2 linked regions of the Drosophila melanogaster genome follow. Changing the gene in region 1 together with any one later gene gives a genetic interaction. Each region holds a gene or a part of one and is shown on either strand. Other genes may lie near its edges.

Region 1 (6,887 bases):
GCCTGAGCTATAAGGGACTTCGGGCCGCCAGTCAATATCCCGTGAAAAGCTTGAGCAACCAGCGCTCTCCGGCACTACTTGCAGCCAGTGTGGAGCTGTTGCTTAACGGCAGTGTGGCCGAGATTCAGAACTTTCATTCGCAGTGGTTCCTGCGCATCCAACAGCGGGAAGAGTTGTTTGAGCTGCTGCAAGCAAATCCTCAGATTGTGGAGTTCCTGGCCACCGAGGAGGAAAGGTCGCCGAGCGATCAATTACGTCTGATTCTGATCTTCAGCATGTTCGCCAGGGAGATATATGCTACCTCCAAGCTGCACTTCTTTAAGATCAGCACCGAGCTGTTGACCAACTGCAGCCAGATGGAGACGGAGGCGCAGCTGTTGATCTTTCGCTTTCTGGTTGACAATCTGGGAAACTTTGCCGTCGAAGACTGTCTGGATTTCTTTCACAGCTTTGTAGAGCGACATCGCTGTCTGGAAAGCTCAGAGTTCCGGAACACGATGCTGGGCAAGATGCCAACGATTATCAATCACACGGCCAAGCACTTTCAAAAGGTTCTAAAGGCGGACATCGGAGTGGGTGGCCATGCATTGGCTCAGAATATCAAGCGATTCTTTTCACATCTTCAGCATCTGATTGAGCGGGACATCCACAGCGAGGTTTATCAACCCAAGATCTTTGCCCTGAAGTTGCTGGAAATCCTAAATAGGTCGCTATATGCAGAAGAAGTCGCAAAAAATGCAAAAATGTGCAGTCCTCAGCAGAATCAGCGCATGGGCATATTTCTCCTGGAGCACGGAGTCTTTCGTCCAAAGGAAATGGCGCAACAGCTCTTCGAAACCCTCAACAATCCACAAGGTTTCGATGATGCTTTGGACCTAACGGTCTCCCTGTTGATTCAGATGGGCCATGTGGACAGTGAAAAGTGCGTGGAGCGGTGCTTCGAACTGTGCCACACGTCTGATATGGACCAATGCTCCTTGGTTTCCCTCTACGCACAGTTGGCGGTTACAAAAGAGCAAGCTGGATCAAAGATATTTGATGAGTGCCTGAAAAGGCTTACCGGTAAATTAGATCCCTTCTTCGAAGATCCTTTGCAGACCGCCAAGAGCGGAGGACATCTCTTTGGCTATCTTTGCGCCTTGGACGAGGTGGTCAAGGCTGGCTTGGCAGTGGAGACGCCTCTGGAGGATTTGTTGCCATTGCTAGAGAGAATTCTCAGCGGCATTCTCAAGTTCCTCAATGTGGCCAACGCCCGGCGACAGGAAGAGGCAGCCACAGCAGCCAGTTTCCAGGACATGGACGAGAGTCTCCAGCTGCTGGTCAGCGAAAGCTCCTTCAAGTGTGATGGGGAGGAAGAGGCTTGTCGAAAGTACTTACTGATGAGCTTCTGGTTAACGTTGAAGGTGCGTAGATATATTTCTTAACTCTTGATAAACTTATCATTTGTTTATCCTTCTGCAGGGCTGTTGCGATCTGGCCACCAGCATTGGGTGTTACCAATTGCAAACGTCTGCCAAAACAGTTAACACCGAGACTCTGCGTCGTTGCCTCAATATTAATGTTTCCGTTTTGACGCTTTGCCGGCACAAAGGAGCCATAGAGGCGGCCGGCTTGAGCATTGGCAGACTTACCCGTGCCATCACCAGTAGCTTAGACAGCTGCGATTCGGGATTCCAAATGCTTCACGACTGCCTAGAGCGAGAGCTGCTGACTGAAAGCCGTCAAGTGAGCACCACACGACGTGGTGCCGGCTTCGCCATAATGTTCCTTCACGTGCTGAAGAACGATAATCCACGACAGCGGCTGCTGCTCCATCGCGCTGTGCAGCAGATTCTTAAGAGGCTAAATGAAAACCAAACCGCGGAGACTGTTTGTCTCGATAGCAATCACGATCGCTGGGAGGCATTGGTACTGCATTACCTTTGCGTTCTTGTGCGCGACACAGAACTGAGGCCAGCTATGAGCAAGTACTACAATGAGATTCTGCTGGTGGCCATGGAGCACATCACCAACCCCGAATGGACCATTTCGAATGCGGCACTTCAACTCTTTGGCGCCAATCTGGGCAAGCTGGTCGGCCAGCGCCAAGCTACAGAGTTTGACACACGACCCGCCTGGGAACCCAGTGAGCTGGACTACGACGAATTGGGCTGCTTGCTGCCCAAGGCTTGCGAGCACATGCTGAGGTGCTGTGATCGCCAGGAGGTCACGTCATCCATCATACTCTTTCTGGCCTTCTTGTCCAAGGTCGAGCACTTGCGTACGTCGGGCGGGAAAGAGCCAAATCCCCTGCTCATTCGCTTCCGCCGACTCAGTTGGCATTTGTTGCGGCACAAATGTGATCAGGTCCGCCAACTGGCGGCCACCTGCTTTGTGCGGTCGCACGAATTCCGCTGCGATCTGCCGGCGGCGCTGCTGGCCAGCGCCAAGTTGGCCGCGAATCTGGAGGAGGAGAACTTCTACGAGGGACTGATTTACACGCTGACATCGGGCGTGCTGAAACTAAAGCACGAAGCACGTCATGTGTGGAGCGCGGGACGTCTGGAGGGATTCCTTGAAGCGCTGCTCACCGCGCTGGATGTCACTGAGCGAGTTCGTCGCTTCAAGCCGTACACACGGAATGTGCTGCTGGAACTGCTAGGCCAGCTGGGTAGTGCGGATAAAGCGGCTCTCGTCGAGTCTCTCGGCTAGCATTAGCAAATCTAGTTTTATCTAATCTTTAATCATTAAGCCAAAAAGTTATCTTTCCTTGTCAACGCTTTTACAACTATTCAAATGACGCATTTAATGTTTGTACGCAGTAAACGTAACGAAAGTATCTACCAAACAGGGATTTCTAAAATAACCAATGAGAATATGAACTAACCGCGCGATCAGCTGAAACCCTCGCTCGACTCCTGCTCCATGGCCTGAAGTTCCTGTTTTTCCATAGCCTCCTGCGCCATTTGCTGCAAGGTACGACTGAGTATGTTGCGCAGGATGTGCGGCTTGCAGTGCTCCTCCAGCCAGGGGATAATGCCGGTGGTCAGCTGCTTAAAGTTCTCCATGGGTATGTGTTGAAATGTCTCGAACATTTCCTCCATAATGGCCTGGAACTACGGAGGAGGGTGGTGGGTGGCGATTCTAGAGGTTATAATAGAGGTAAGCGCTCCATACTTACCACTTGAAACTTGGCCTCATCGGTGAGTCGTGCCTCCTCCGGCCCTGGATTCGCCTGCTGATGCTGTAGCATGTTCTCATAGCCGTTCTTAATGATCCGTAACGCTGTTACCTCCTTTTGTAGCGCCGATCCCTCGTCCTCCTGCTTGAGTTTCTGCTGGTTAAGGTAGCCAATGTATTCGATGGACTTCTGCAGGATCAGAGCCTTGCTGAGCTTGTAGCCGGAGGAGTCGTTGGGCTGGCAGCGCGGCACCAGCTCCTGCAGACTGTCGTAGCCCTTCTTAATGGCATCGCGCCGCTTCTGCTCCGCCTGGGTGTGCGCCTCCCTTCTCCGCTCCTTGTAACTCAGCGTGGAATTGGCGGCCGCGGAATGGCGCGCATCGCCGCTATCGTCGTCGTCGTCTGCGATACAGAACCGAAACATGAGTACAATGTAATAAAATGCTGCTGATAGCGAGTAATTCAATGCCACTGCTTTATCAGCTGCCCCCGCCCCGCACTCTTGACCGATCAGCGTGACCGATCTTGACCAGCGTTCGCCCACCTGAATTGTGCGCCGAGGAGTTCGGAGTGTGCGTGCTGCCCGCACTGCTGCACCGCGAGTAGTGCTTGCTGGTGTGGTCCTGGTCGTGCTCCATGCCGAAAACGTCTTCCTTGGTGGCCAACGCGTTGTTATTATCGCTCATCGTCAACTGCGACGTTTTGGAATTCCCAAAACAAAAACACTAGCAGCGGTGTGACTGTCGCAAGGTAGCGCGAAAAGCCTTCGGTATCTGATGGTCACATTCAACATTGTGCGATAGTTTTAAGGAATTTTTAAAACAGTTATCAGGTACCAGGCTAACAGGTACTTTAATTATGATGTTATTCAACCAACTATGCTTGTTATAATTTGCATCCCTAATAACATAGTTTTTAGAAACTGCATACAATTAATTTTTGTAGCAGAGTGTAAGATGTGGTACGTTCAATCAACGAATGATAGTCATATCGATATTTCGGCCACCTCTACCGGTCCGGATGATGACTTTTACGTTTTTTTCTTGTTGAACTTTGCCGTCGTGTCGCTTTCTTCGGGGTTATTGCTTAAATTTAGCGGGTTTTTGGGCTGTAATTTGTGATCGGCGGACGCACAAGGAATCAATCATGGGCCTGCTATATGCGCTGCGCGTGAGGATCATGAACTTCATGATTTTCTTCCTCCTCATCATCCTAATGCCCGGTCTGCCGCCGCGCACCACCTTCCCCTTCAAGGACTATATGTAAGTGCCGCCCGTTTCAATTGACGTAATTCCCGTGTTAATCCTTGGAGAAATCGCCACTTCGTACAGTGTGACCCCGCCCAAAGACCTGAAGGGTGCGCTGGAATCGAACTTTCACCTGGAGGGAGCGGAGCGACTGCTGGAGGGGCGGGTCTACGGCCCGGAGTGCCTGATAGCCCGCAACAACGAGATCTACACCGGCATCCACGGCGGTGAGGTCATCAAGCTAACGTCCAACCATGTCACGCATGTCACCAAGATCGGCCAGCCCTGCGGTGCGTATTTTCGAGTCCTATAAAGGGAATTTCATTTTATAATAGTAATCCCCTTGCAGAGGACATCTACGAGGAGTCCCGGTGCGGCCGTCCGCTGGGACTGGCCTTTGATACGCAGGGCAACAACCTCATCATCGCCGACGCCTACTACGGCCTGTGGCAGGTGGACCTGGGCACCAATAAGAAGACTCTGCTGGTCTCGCCCGCCCAGGAGCTTGCCGGCAAGTCCATCAACCGCCCTGCCAAGATTTTCAACGGCGTGACCGTGAGCAAAGAGGGCGACGTCTACTGGACGGACTCCTCGTCGGACTTCACCATCGAAGACCTCGTCTTTGCCAGCTTTGCTAACCCCTCCGGCCGGTGAGTTCATCGCAAATTATAGCGACACTGTCTAATATTGCTAGAATTCAAAGTGATAGCTATTCGGAATAGGGCTACAGTGGGACCCCATTACAATGTATTTCTTTATAAAACGTGTTTTGTGACCCATTTAAGATTATTTCAAATGTTTGTAGCGGAGGAATCGAGGGAGTCACTTAATTAATCTCAATTAAGAGTCCACGCTTACTGAAGTTAGCTTAATTCTTATAATTAAGGGACAAGTTACAGAAGTATGACTGTAAGACGAACGCAAACCGGTTTCTCGATCTGGTCTTATGGTTACTCTAACGGCCTTTGCTTTCTTCTACGTTCCAGTCTCTTCAAATACAATCGCTCGAAGAATGTTAGCGAGGTGCTGCTGGACGAACTGGCTTTCGCCAATGGATTGGCCCTCAGTCCCAACGAGGACTTCATCGTGGTAGCCGAAACCGGAGCGATGCGTCTGACAAAGTATCACCTGAAGGGAGCGAAGGCCGGTCAGAGCGAGGTGTTCGTCGACGGACTGCCCGGTTTGCCCGATAACCTGACACCCGACGCCGAGGGCATCTGGGTGCCATTGGTCCAGAGCGCGGATAGCGAGCATCCCAACGGCTTCACCCTGTTCACTCGCTTCCCCAGCGTGCGCCTGTTCCTGGCCCGCATGCTGGCTTTGTTCGAGCTGCCCTTCCGCTACTTGAACAGCGTATATCCGAACAAGTTCTCGCAGCGATTCGTTCACTTCGTGGGACACATGGAGAGCATCACTGTGCTGGCGCCCAAGCGAACGACTGTCGTGCGTGTGGACTGGAACGGCAACATTGTGGGCTCGCTGCATGGCTTCGACAAGTCGGCCGCCACGGTATCACACGTCCTGGAGTTCCAGGACTTCTTGTTCTTGGGCTCCCCCACCAATCAGTACCTGGCGCGTGTCAAGTCGCCAAAGGCCAAGCAGCCCACGCTGAAGGTGCGCAATGTTCGCGTCGAGGGCGAGGGCTTGGAGGCGTCCATTGGTGTGCCACCCAGCAAAGCCACTCCTAAACCCAAGGCGGCTCCTAGCACCACCACTCCGAAACCCACTACCACAACGACAACTACCACGCCGAAACCCACTACCAAGACGACAACTACTACAACCACGCCAAAGCCCACTACCACAACGACAACCAAGAAGCCAACGACCACTACCACCACTACGACAACCACGCCGAAGCCAACAACTACTAAGCCGCCGACAGCTAAGCCATCTACGACTACAACAACCACCACTACTCCTAAGCCAACTACTACTACTACTCCTACTACTCCTACTCCAGAGCCTTCTAAACCGAAGGTCAAGCGCACAGTGCCTGAGAAACCCGCGCCCGTTGAGGAGGATATCCCCTCGGACACACAGCCACCCAAGAAGGAGAAGCTCAAGGTCATCAACAAGCAAGGCGTCAATGTGGAGCTTTAAGATCGCAGACGCATCAGCTTCCTCCTGAGTTAATCGGGCATATTCCCGGACGCGAGATTAGTTTCTTCACGCAGTCAAAACCTATTAGGATTATTATCTTTTTCCCTCCAACATCTCAACCACTTTTGGGGAATTTTCAAAGGTTTCTTATTTATCATGCCCCAACTCAGGCTGTCGAAACCAGTTAATTTTAGTCGAAAGGTAGCTAAATTCAGACTAGCCGAGGGCCTTGCTCATATGATCCTCGACGGGCAACGCTTTATATGTTGTAGACTAACATATAATTCTGTTTTGCTTAGGCACTATAAACATTCCATTCCTTTTTACAACCGGAAGTGCATTCCATGTAGCTAAGTTAATAGTAAACAATGCCCCAAA
Region 2 (8,543 bases), on another chromosome or scaffold:
TGAGGGGATTTTTTGGCCAGCTTATTGTATTACACCAGGGTCCTGATGCCCGGATGGGTTGCCGAGAAAAGGTAAGCTTGTGTAAGATAATAATTGCTACAGATTTCTGAATTCTAAAGGAAATGTGAGCCCTTGGTTCTGGCAGCAGATGGAATTATTGATGGATTCCATTGACTTTAAACCGAGTTGCGCTACCTGAGCCCATAACTTATGCATGGCAGGGAGCGATGTGTGGATAATTTGAATGGGGTTAAGCCCCATTTGCATATACAAATGCCAATGCGTGGGCTGGGCTTCAATCAGGTTTATGGCTTCGGGTCCGCCTGCACTGGCACCTCTTTGCTTTTCCGCTTTTCTACTCTTCGCTTTCCGTTTTCCGTCTGCGGCTCTTCCTTTAGCGCCCTTGGTGCTCCGGCTGGCCATCATCATTTCTCATTCGAGTACAAGGTGGCCGGAGTAATGACTCTTCCTGCACGGACCGTCATTAAATTGCAGGCCTCCATCGCGTCATAGAGAAGTTCTCGGGACAACCCTTTGGTAAACTTTGCTTGTAATTAAGCCCGCACCCGTTAAACGCATACTTAACACCACCCACCCAGCCTACTATTCAGACCCCAACTGTCCCCACCTTCCGGCCCAGCCACCCATGCCGACGGGGCACTTTCACCCCCTGTCTCTGCTGTAAAAATAAACTGAGTGTGTGCACAACACAAACAGGGAAAGTCCATAAAACACTTAAGATCTAGGAGTACGAGTATGTATACGGCTGATGGTGGAAGGGGGGTGTTGCTGGTTCTGGGCTGGTCAGTTCGCAAATTACAAATCCTGGCCAAAGTCACGTCGCAAGTTGGTCATTAGCCGCCACTTGAGTCCCGAAGCTCCGCCCACGCATCGATTTTATTGCAGCACATAATTCTTGAGGCCGGGGCCATTTGTGCAAATCTCATGTTGATGGCATATTAAGTGACCTCCGGGCCGCTTTTCAAACACCCCAGCCCCCTCACCACCTCGCCACCCAAGCGCGCAATCCACATTTGATGCCCCAGGCGCCTGCCAATTTGCACTTTAAACGGCCGGCGGGTGGGCACAAAGTGACGTCGTTAGATAGACAGAAATGGCGCAAACTTACGTGTAATTAGACGCGTCTGGGCGCGAGGATTAGCAATTAAGCGAATGTCCTGTGAGCGCAACAAGTGCCGCTGAAGGAGAGGTCTTTACAAAAAGGACGAAGTGCCGTTGAAAGAGACACAGGACACGAGTAATCCCAGCTGGGGGCTGGGTGCTTAGGGGACGGGGTTGGGTGGGCAATTGCCGTTCGGGGGCAAAGTGAGAGCAGCGCATAAATCAACATGTCAAATCGCAGCTTACAAAGTGCCGTACAAACACACACACACACACACAGATCCCGCGCTCATTTAAACACACCCACTAAGACAGAGGGAAACTCACTTTTACTCCGCGTGCCGCATTACAGTTTAATGTTTACCATTTTCATCAAATTTGTCGGATAATTCGGTCTGTTATAGCAACTTGGCTAATTGTTCAACACCAACAATGCCACCGCGACAAACATCAGCACACCGATACTGGTACACCATCACCATCACATTCACTAGCACAAACACCACCACAAATAGCACAACACACACCGACGAGCAACAGTTTGCACGGCCAGCCGCTCGGGGCTTTCTGCACTTCCGTTTCCGCTGGCGACTGCCGCTCTCACGAACTTCCGCCCGGTCGAAGCTGCGGCGGCGGCTGCTCGAGCTGAACTGTGGTGCCCACCGATTCTTGGCTGCCTTTTTCCTGGCTCCCGATTCCTGTGAATCCGAAGTGCTGGAAAAGCTCCGACTGTTGAGCTTTTCGCGGCCTTCCATTGGGCTGGAAAATGGAGCCGAGGAAAGCTAGCGAATGCAGTGGATAGCCGTTGCAGGAGATGATTGGGAAATCATCTAGCGGTTTCATCTTATATAAGGCAAGTGGGAAAAATTTAACTTAATTTATTTCTATAATCTTGGCAAATTAACACCATAAATTAGGATTTTGAAAAATATTAAAAGTCTTAGTTATGAAACAAGAGCAAGACTAGTTACAAGTGTCACATTTTATAATTATAACATTTGAAATTTATTTAGCAATCATTTAAAAATCCTAAAACGTATTAAAACTTGTTTATCTATTTAACTGATTGTTTGAAGCGTTAATAAATAAATCATGCAGCTATAAAGCATTTATTAGTATATTAACTATTGTATATATACTGTTTAGAATGTTCACAACATTCAAAAATCCAAGTTTGTGATAAATAAATACTCATATAGGATGTAGGTTATAAAATCGTGTTGTTTTATTTTTTTTTTAATTTTCTCTGTTTGTATGGCCTACTTGCTAATCTTATGGCTGCTTATATAATAAATAGTTTGGAAGTCTTCGGCTTAAGAACTAGAGAAACGACTAAATAAGGTATTGGGGACAGGTATTTAGGACAGGTTAACAAATTGGGTTGGTGATGGGGTCAGTACGGGATAGCACAGTGGGTGAGCAGGTGTGTGGGCAGGTAAAGATGCTGTAGATGGGACTCTCCTCATTGATCCTTCTTACAGGTTGTCTACGCGGGAAGATAGCTCGTCCAGCTGCTGGTAAATGCTGGCCGGAAGATCGGCGCCCACCTGTGACTCGAAGTAGGTGCGAATATCCTTGACCTCCTGCGACCAGAACTCCTTGGGCAGCGAGAAGATCTCCTTCACGTCCACCTTATCCTTCATGCCATCGAGGTTTAGGGCACCCTCGGCGGGAATGTGTCCAATGGCCGAGTCCACGTAGCAGGATTCGCCATTGACCCTGCGCAGGATCCATTCCAGCACACGGGAGTTCTCTCCGTATCCGGGCCACATGAACTTGCCCTCGGCACTCTTGCGGAACCAGTTGACGTGGAAGATCTTTGGCACCTGACCACGCTTCTCCATGCTCAGCCAGTGGGCCACGTAGTCGCCAAAGTTGTAGCCAAAGAAGGGCCTCATGGCGAACGGATCGTGCATGATCACCTTGCCCTTGTGCTCGGCCGCAGCAGTGGCCTCACTCCTCATGGCTGCTCCAATGAAGACTCCGTGGGTCCAGTCCCGAGCCTCATAGATTAGGGGCACTCCGGCGGGACGACGTCCTCCGAAGAGCATGGCGGAGATGGGCACTCCCGCCGGATCTTCCCAGGCTTCATCGATAATCGGGCACTGGGCGGCTGGAGTGCAGAAGCGGGAGTTGGGATGCGCAGCGGGCTTGCCGGAATCCTTGGTCCAGGGTTTGCCCAACCAGTCAGTGATTTGGACATTGGGAGCCAGACTGCTTTCCATGCCCTCCCAGAACACACCGCCATCAGAGGTGGAGGCCACGTTCGTGAAGATGGTGTTCTTGAAAACAGTGTTCATGGCAATGGGATTGGTCTCCATTGAGGTTCCTGGAGCCACACCAAAGAATCCATTCTCTGGGTTGATGGCACGCAGCACTCCCTGCGAGTCAAACTTCATCCACGCAATGTCGTCGCCCACGCATTCCACCTTGTAGTTGGCCAACGAGGGATTCAGCATGGCCAGATTGGTCTTGCCACAGGCCGAGGGAAAGGCGGCAGTGATGTACTTCTTCTCGCCCTTGGGATCGGTGATGCCCAGAATCAACATGTGCTCGGCCAGCCAGCCCTCCTGCTTGGCAATGGTGCTGCCAATCCTCAGGGCGAAGCACTTCTTGCCCAGCAGCGAGTTGCCGCCGTAGCCCGATCCGTAAGACACAATAAGGTTCTCGGCGGGCTTGTGCAGGATGATGGTGCGTTCGGGATCACAAGGCCAGGATGGCTGCTCCACCTGTCCGTTGGCAGGGGCGCCCACAGAGTGTAGGGCGCGGACGAATTCCTCCTTCTTGGCCAGCTGGCGCAAGACAGCGGCTCCCATGCGTGTCATGATCCTCATGGAGGCCACCACGTAAGCAGAGTCCGTCAGTTCGATTCCGATCTTAGAGAGCGGGGAGCCCACAGGACCCATGCTGAAGGGCACCACGTACATGGTGCGACCCTTCATGCAGCCGGGGAATCGCTGCTGCACTGCAGCATCCATGTCGCTGGGCGAGATCCAGTTGCCCAGGGTTCCCTTGACACCCTCCACTGGAGTGGGAATCGTCTCCTCCCGCCGCTCGGTGCAGATGAAAGTGCGCGACTCGACGCGGGCCACATCCGCCGGATTGGTGCGGGCCAGCCAGCAATTGTCGTACTTGGGCAGCGGCACAATGGTGCCAGCCTCCAAGAGGCTCTTGATGAGCACCTTGTTCTCCTGCTCGCTGCCATCGCAGATGTGCACCTGGTCGGGCTGGCAGAGGGCGATGCCCTCCTCCACGAAGGCACGGACACCGGTGGTCAGCAAATCCACATTTCCATAGGAGATGGGAATGCCACGGATGTGGCTGTACAGACCGCAATTGTCCTGGCGCAGCTTGTGCAACTGGGGCAGACCGCAGACATTGCCGGAGCTAAAGAGAAAGAGAGAGATAAAAGGGAAGTGGGTTATTAAAATTGCAATTTAATTAACTGACTTCGATAGTGGGACCCCAAATAATGGACTGCATTAAAAATTAATTGCCATTAAAATCCCCCATTGAATGCGTTTCGAGTGACCTCTTTAATGTATACTTACATAATTTTGCTTTGTTCAATGAGCTCAGGCATTTTGTTTGTGTTGTTTTTTATGAATTTTTCTCGAAAAAAAGTTTGGAATATTTTTATTAGATTTTTCTGCGCGTGAAAGGGTTTTTGGCACTTTGCTTAATTCGCTTATCACAATTTGAGTAATTATCACAATTAGTGTTCTACTGTCGAGGACTTTGCGTTCATATGTTCTTCCACAGTTTTTTGTCAAACATCAACTTGATTTTCAGACCACTGAAAGTAGGCTTTTCACTTGATCTTTCCATTTACTCTGGCCACGAGTAACTGATGCCAACTGCTCCGATCCGGGGCCTTTTATACCCAGCCGGCGACGCCTGGCCATCGAGGCGACTAGAACAAGTCGGCCGATCGCCACGCAAATCGGGTTTTACGATCGCCTCGCCGAGTGAGAGGGTCAAACTCCGGACGAGCTGATTGGCTGCCGGCGGAGGCTCGGCGATTGTTTTGGTTTTTCACAGGCGGCGCAGCTACGATGAGTTGGTTGTGGGTGGGGGGGGGGGGTCTACGGAATGGGGGGCATGGGCATACAGATACGTATATGGGGTATGTCCCCACATGGCAACAGCAGAGTGTTGTTTTCATGTGGCGCTGAGAGCGTTTTCTAGTGCGTTTGCATTGATAAGCGTTTGTTGTTATTTTGAACACCCTGATATTTGCCACTTTCGCGCTGTTAATTTAATTATTCTATTTATGATTTTATGCGATACAAATGTGGCCGCTGCGAATATAGAAACCAGTTCACGGACAGCTGAGGCAACAGCAGTTGTTGTCCCCTGCAGCTGGGTAAATTCTGGATGTGTCTATAGCTGCATTGGCCACAAATATAGCTACATTGGTGCAACATCGAATGGTGGGCCACATCACACGCGCCCGCCCACTTACGCCTGTTTGACCACATGTGTTGGCCTCTCGTTTTTGGACATTTGCCAAATCGAAAAAAACTTTCGCTTATTTGTAGAATCGGTGACGGAAAATTTGTATGCTAATCCGCCCCCCTCGCGGCATCCAGATGAGCCGGGGGCCTCCCCAATTGGCCATGGCCGCCTTGGAGGCCAGTATTCACATTCATGTGACTCTGGGGGCGCACCAAGAATAGCATGGCCCGGATGGTTGTCATGTGGCCACTCTTGTTTTTGTCTTTGGGGAAGGAGAAATGAAGGTGCTGCCGGTGGTGTGACTTTGTACCCCGAATCCAGTTTACCAGAAGACCCAGAATCCTCTGGGTACTCGAAGAAAAAGTTCAACAGAAGCAGTCGGGAAAGTTGCACGTAAATATGGCTCTGTTTTTCATTGGTTGCGTAAACATTTATTTGGTAGCAGTGTTATTTATAATGTTAAATTAAAACGCTTGCCAACTCTAATTTAAAACTTCAAGCTTAATTCAACTTCATAACAAATAGGCCAAATATAATTTTTATTAAAATTGTTTTAAATAATTATAATAAGCCGCTCACTTAGCCTAGACCCAGAAGAGACTGGCGTCCAACGTCCTTGGAGAAACCTGATCAGATGGTTGTCCTTGGTCCTTGGCTCCCCCCTCTTACAGTCCCCGTCCCCATTTTTGACTCCCTTTACGAAAAGTCCAGTTGCGAATTAAATCGAATTCGTCTACACGCGTTGCCGTGATTTTCGATTGGTTTATTTATAACTATGGACTTGTTTTTCTAGTTGGGCCTGATAATCTTCATCATCGGCATTAATTGCTGGACCCAGACTTGGACTTGGACTCAGACTCTAACTGCTTCGCTCCTGTTCTCACCTAACCGCCACTTGGCGCATTTCGATGATTCGGGCTTATTTGGAATTTACGTCAATAGACGATCGATTCGCTAAATATATGCATAATCAATAATGCGATTGGTTGAGAAGAAGGCAATGGGGAGGAGGGAGCCGGGCGGGTTATCAGTGGACGAGCCTCTGAGTTCGTCTAAATATAGATCAGACCCGGATTTGTGCTGTCGACCAGGAAAACTTTCCGAGGGAAAACATCACTATGAGGATCTTTACATTGCCCATGAACTATTTTAAGGGATTCGATTTCTTAGCTATTTTGCCTTTTGGTTTCTTGGCTTATTGGCTTTTTATCGCTGTTCACCCCATAGTGTACATCACACCACACGCTTTGAATTTAGTAATCAGTCCTTGGAAACCCACCGAAAATTGCAAAGGTTCACCCATAAACTTTACTTTCTTTTTGGCTTTTTCTGGCATTTATTTGCTTGTTTTTCATCGCGTGGATCTGTTGATAAGTTAGGTTAAACGGCATTATGGATTTATACGCTTGTTTACGCCAATTGCGGACGGGCCTCCGCCGAGGCGACCACTGATAAGCCCCGTCTAGGCCACGCCCCAAACCCAATTTCGATCCCAATTCCATTCTCGAATGGGCACAAGTCAAATTTCACTATAAAAATCTCGTTCGTTTCGTTTTATTTTAGGCAATAAGGGGTCTTAGATTAGGAAGTAACCTATGGAACACACACATCACATGTCAGCAACACGCGCCTTCAGCTCCCTCAGCTCCTCGGCCACGGCACCTGGCAGATGGTGGCCCACCTGCTCCTCGAAGTACCTCTCTATGGCAGCCACCTCCTGCTCCCAGAAATCTTTTGGCAGATCGAAAAGCTGGTCGAGATCAATGTTTTCCAAACTATCCAAGTTCAATGAATTCTTGCTGGGCAGGCGGCCAATGGGAGAGTCCTCGAAGCACTGCTCGCCCTCCACCCGCCGGAAGATCCAGTCCAGGACTCGTGAGTTCTCCCCGAATCCGGGCCAAAGGAACTTGCCCTCACTGCTCTTTCGGAACCAATTTACGTGAAAGATCTTGGGCACCTGGCCACGCTGCTCCATGCTTAGCCAGTGACCCAGATAGTCGCCGAAGTTGTAGCCGAAAAAGGGTCTCATGGCGAAGGGATCGTGCATGATGACCTTGCCCTTGAACTCAGCGGCTGCCGTGGCCTCGCTCCTCATAGCAGCTCCAATAAATACGCCGTGCTTCCAGTCTCGAGCCTCGTAAACCAAGGGAACTCCACTGGGACGACGACCTCCGAAAAGAATTGCGGAGATGGGCACTCCTTCGCTATCCTCCCAGGCGGGATCAATAATGGGACACTGAGAGGCGGGTGTACAGAACCTGGAGTTGGGATGGGCAGCTGGCTTTCCGGATTCCTGGGACCAGAGTTTACCCAACCAGTCCGTGACAGTCACCCCCTTCAGCTGATCCTTTTCCATTCCCTCCCAGTAGACACCTCCATCGGATGTAGAGGCCACGTTCGTAAAGACAGAGTTTCGGAAGATCGTATCCATGGCTATGGGATTGGTGGCCCTCGACGTTCCGGGCGCCACGCCAAAGAATCCATTCTCCGGATTAATCGCTCGCAGCACACCCTTGTTATCGAACTTCATCCAGGCGATGTCATCGCCCACGCACTCCACTTTGTAGCCAGGCAGGGTAGGAGTCATCATCGCCAGGTTGGTCTTACCGCAAGCTGATGGAAAGGCGGCAGCTATGTAGATCTTCTTACCTTGCGGATTGGTGATGCCCAGTATCAACATGTGCTCGGCCAGCCAGCCCTCTCGTTTGGCAATGGTGCTGCCAATCCTCAGAGCGAGGCACTTCTTGCCCAGCAGGGAGTTACCACCATACCCAGATCCATAAGATACAATCTCATTTTCTGCTGGCTTGTGCAGCACAATAGTGCGTTCGGGATCGCAGGGCCAGGATGGCATTGCCTGGACACCACTTTTGGGCGTACCCACGGAATGCAGGCACTTGACAAACTGACCATCCCCAGATTGCAGATAATTAAGCACTGGATTGCCCGCCCTAGTCATGATC

What was found.
Region 2: of bigmax (region 1) and Pepck1, changing one suppresses a phenotype caused by changing the other (phenotypic suppression), as found in Drosophila melanogaster (one study listed by BioGRID).

Annotation. Positions count from the first base shown.
Region 1 is NT_033777.3:27,284,625-27,291,511, forward strand, and holds bigmax (bigmax), read right to left. Parts: upstream 3,903-6,887; 5' UTR 3,846-3,902; coding exon 3,704-3,845; intron 3,562-3,703; coding exon 3,161-3,561; intron 3,096-3,160; coding exon 2,874-3,095; 3' UTR 2,742-2,873; downstream 1-2,741. Other genes in the region: CG3368 (uncharacterized protein), read left to right, coding at 1-1,403, 1,462-2,691; Hmu (hemomucin), read left to right, coding at 4,306-4,421, 4,491-4,696, 4,756-5,056, 5,393-6,509.
Region 2 is NT_033778.4:18,533,200-18,541,742, reverse strand, and holds Pepck1 (phosphoenolpyruvate carboxykinase 1), read right to left. Parts: upstream 4,977-8,543; 5' UTR 4,951-4,976; coding exon of another isoform or gene 4,867-4,950; 5' UTR 4,706-4,866; coding exon 4,674-4,705; intron 4,510-4,673; coding exon 2,598-4,509; 3' UTR 2,327-2,597; downstream 1-2,326. Other genes in the region: CG45087 (uncharacterized protein), read right to left, coding at 4,867-4,950; Pepck2 (phosphoenolpyruvate carboxykinase 2), read right to left, coding at 7,190-8,543. UniProt on the Drosophila melanogaster protein: Catalyzes the conversion of oxaloacetate (OAA) to phosphoenolpyruvate (PEP), the rate-limiting step in the metabolic pathway that produces glucose from lactate and other precursors derived from the citric acid cycle.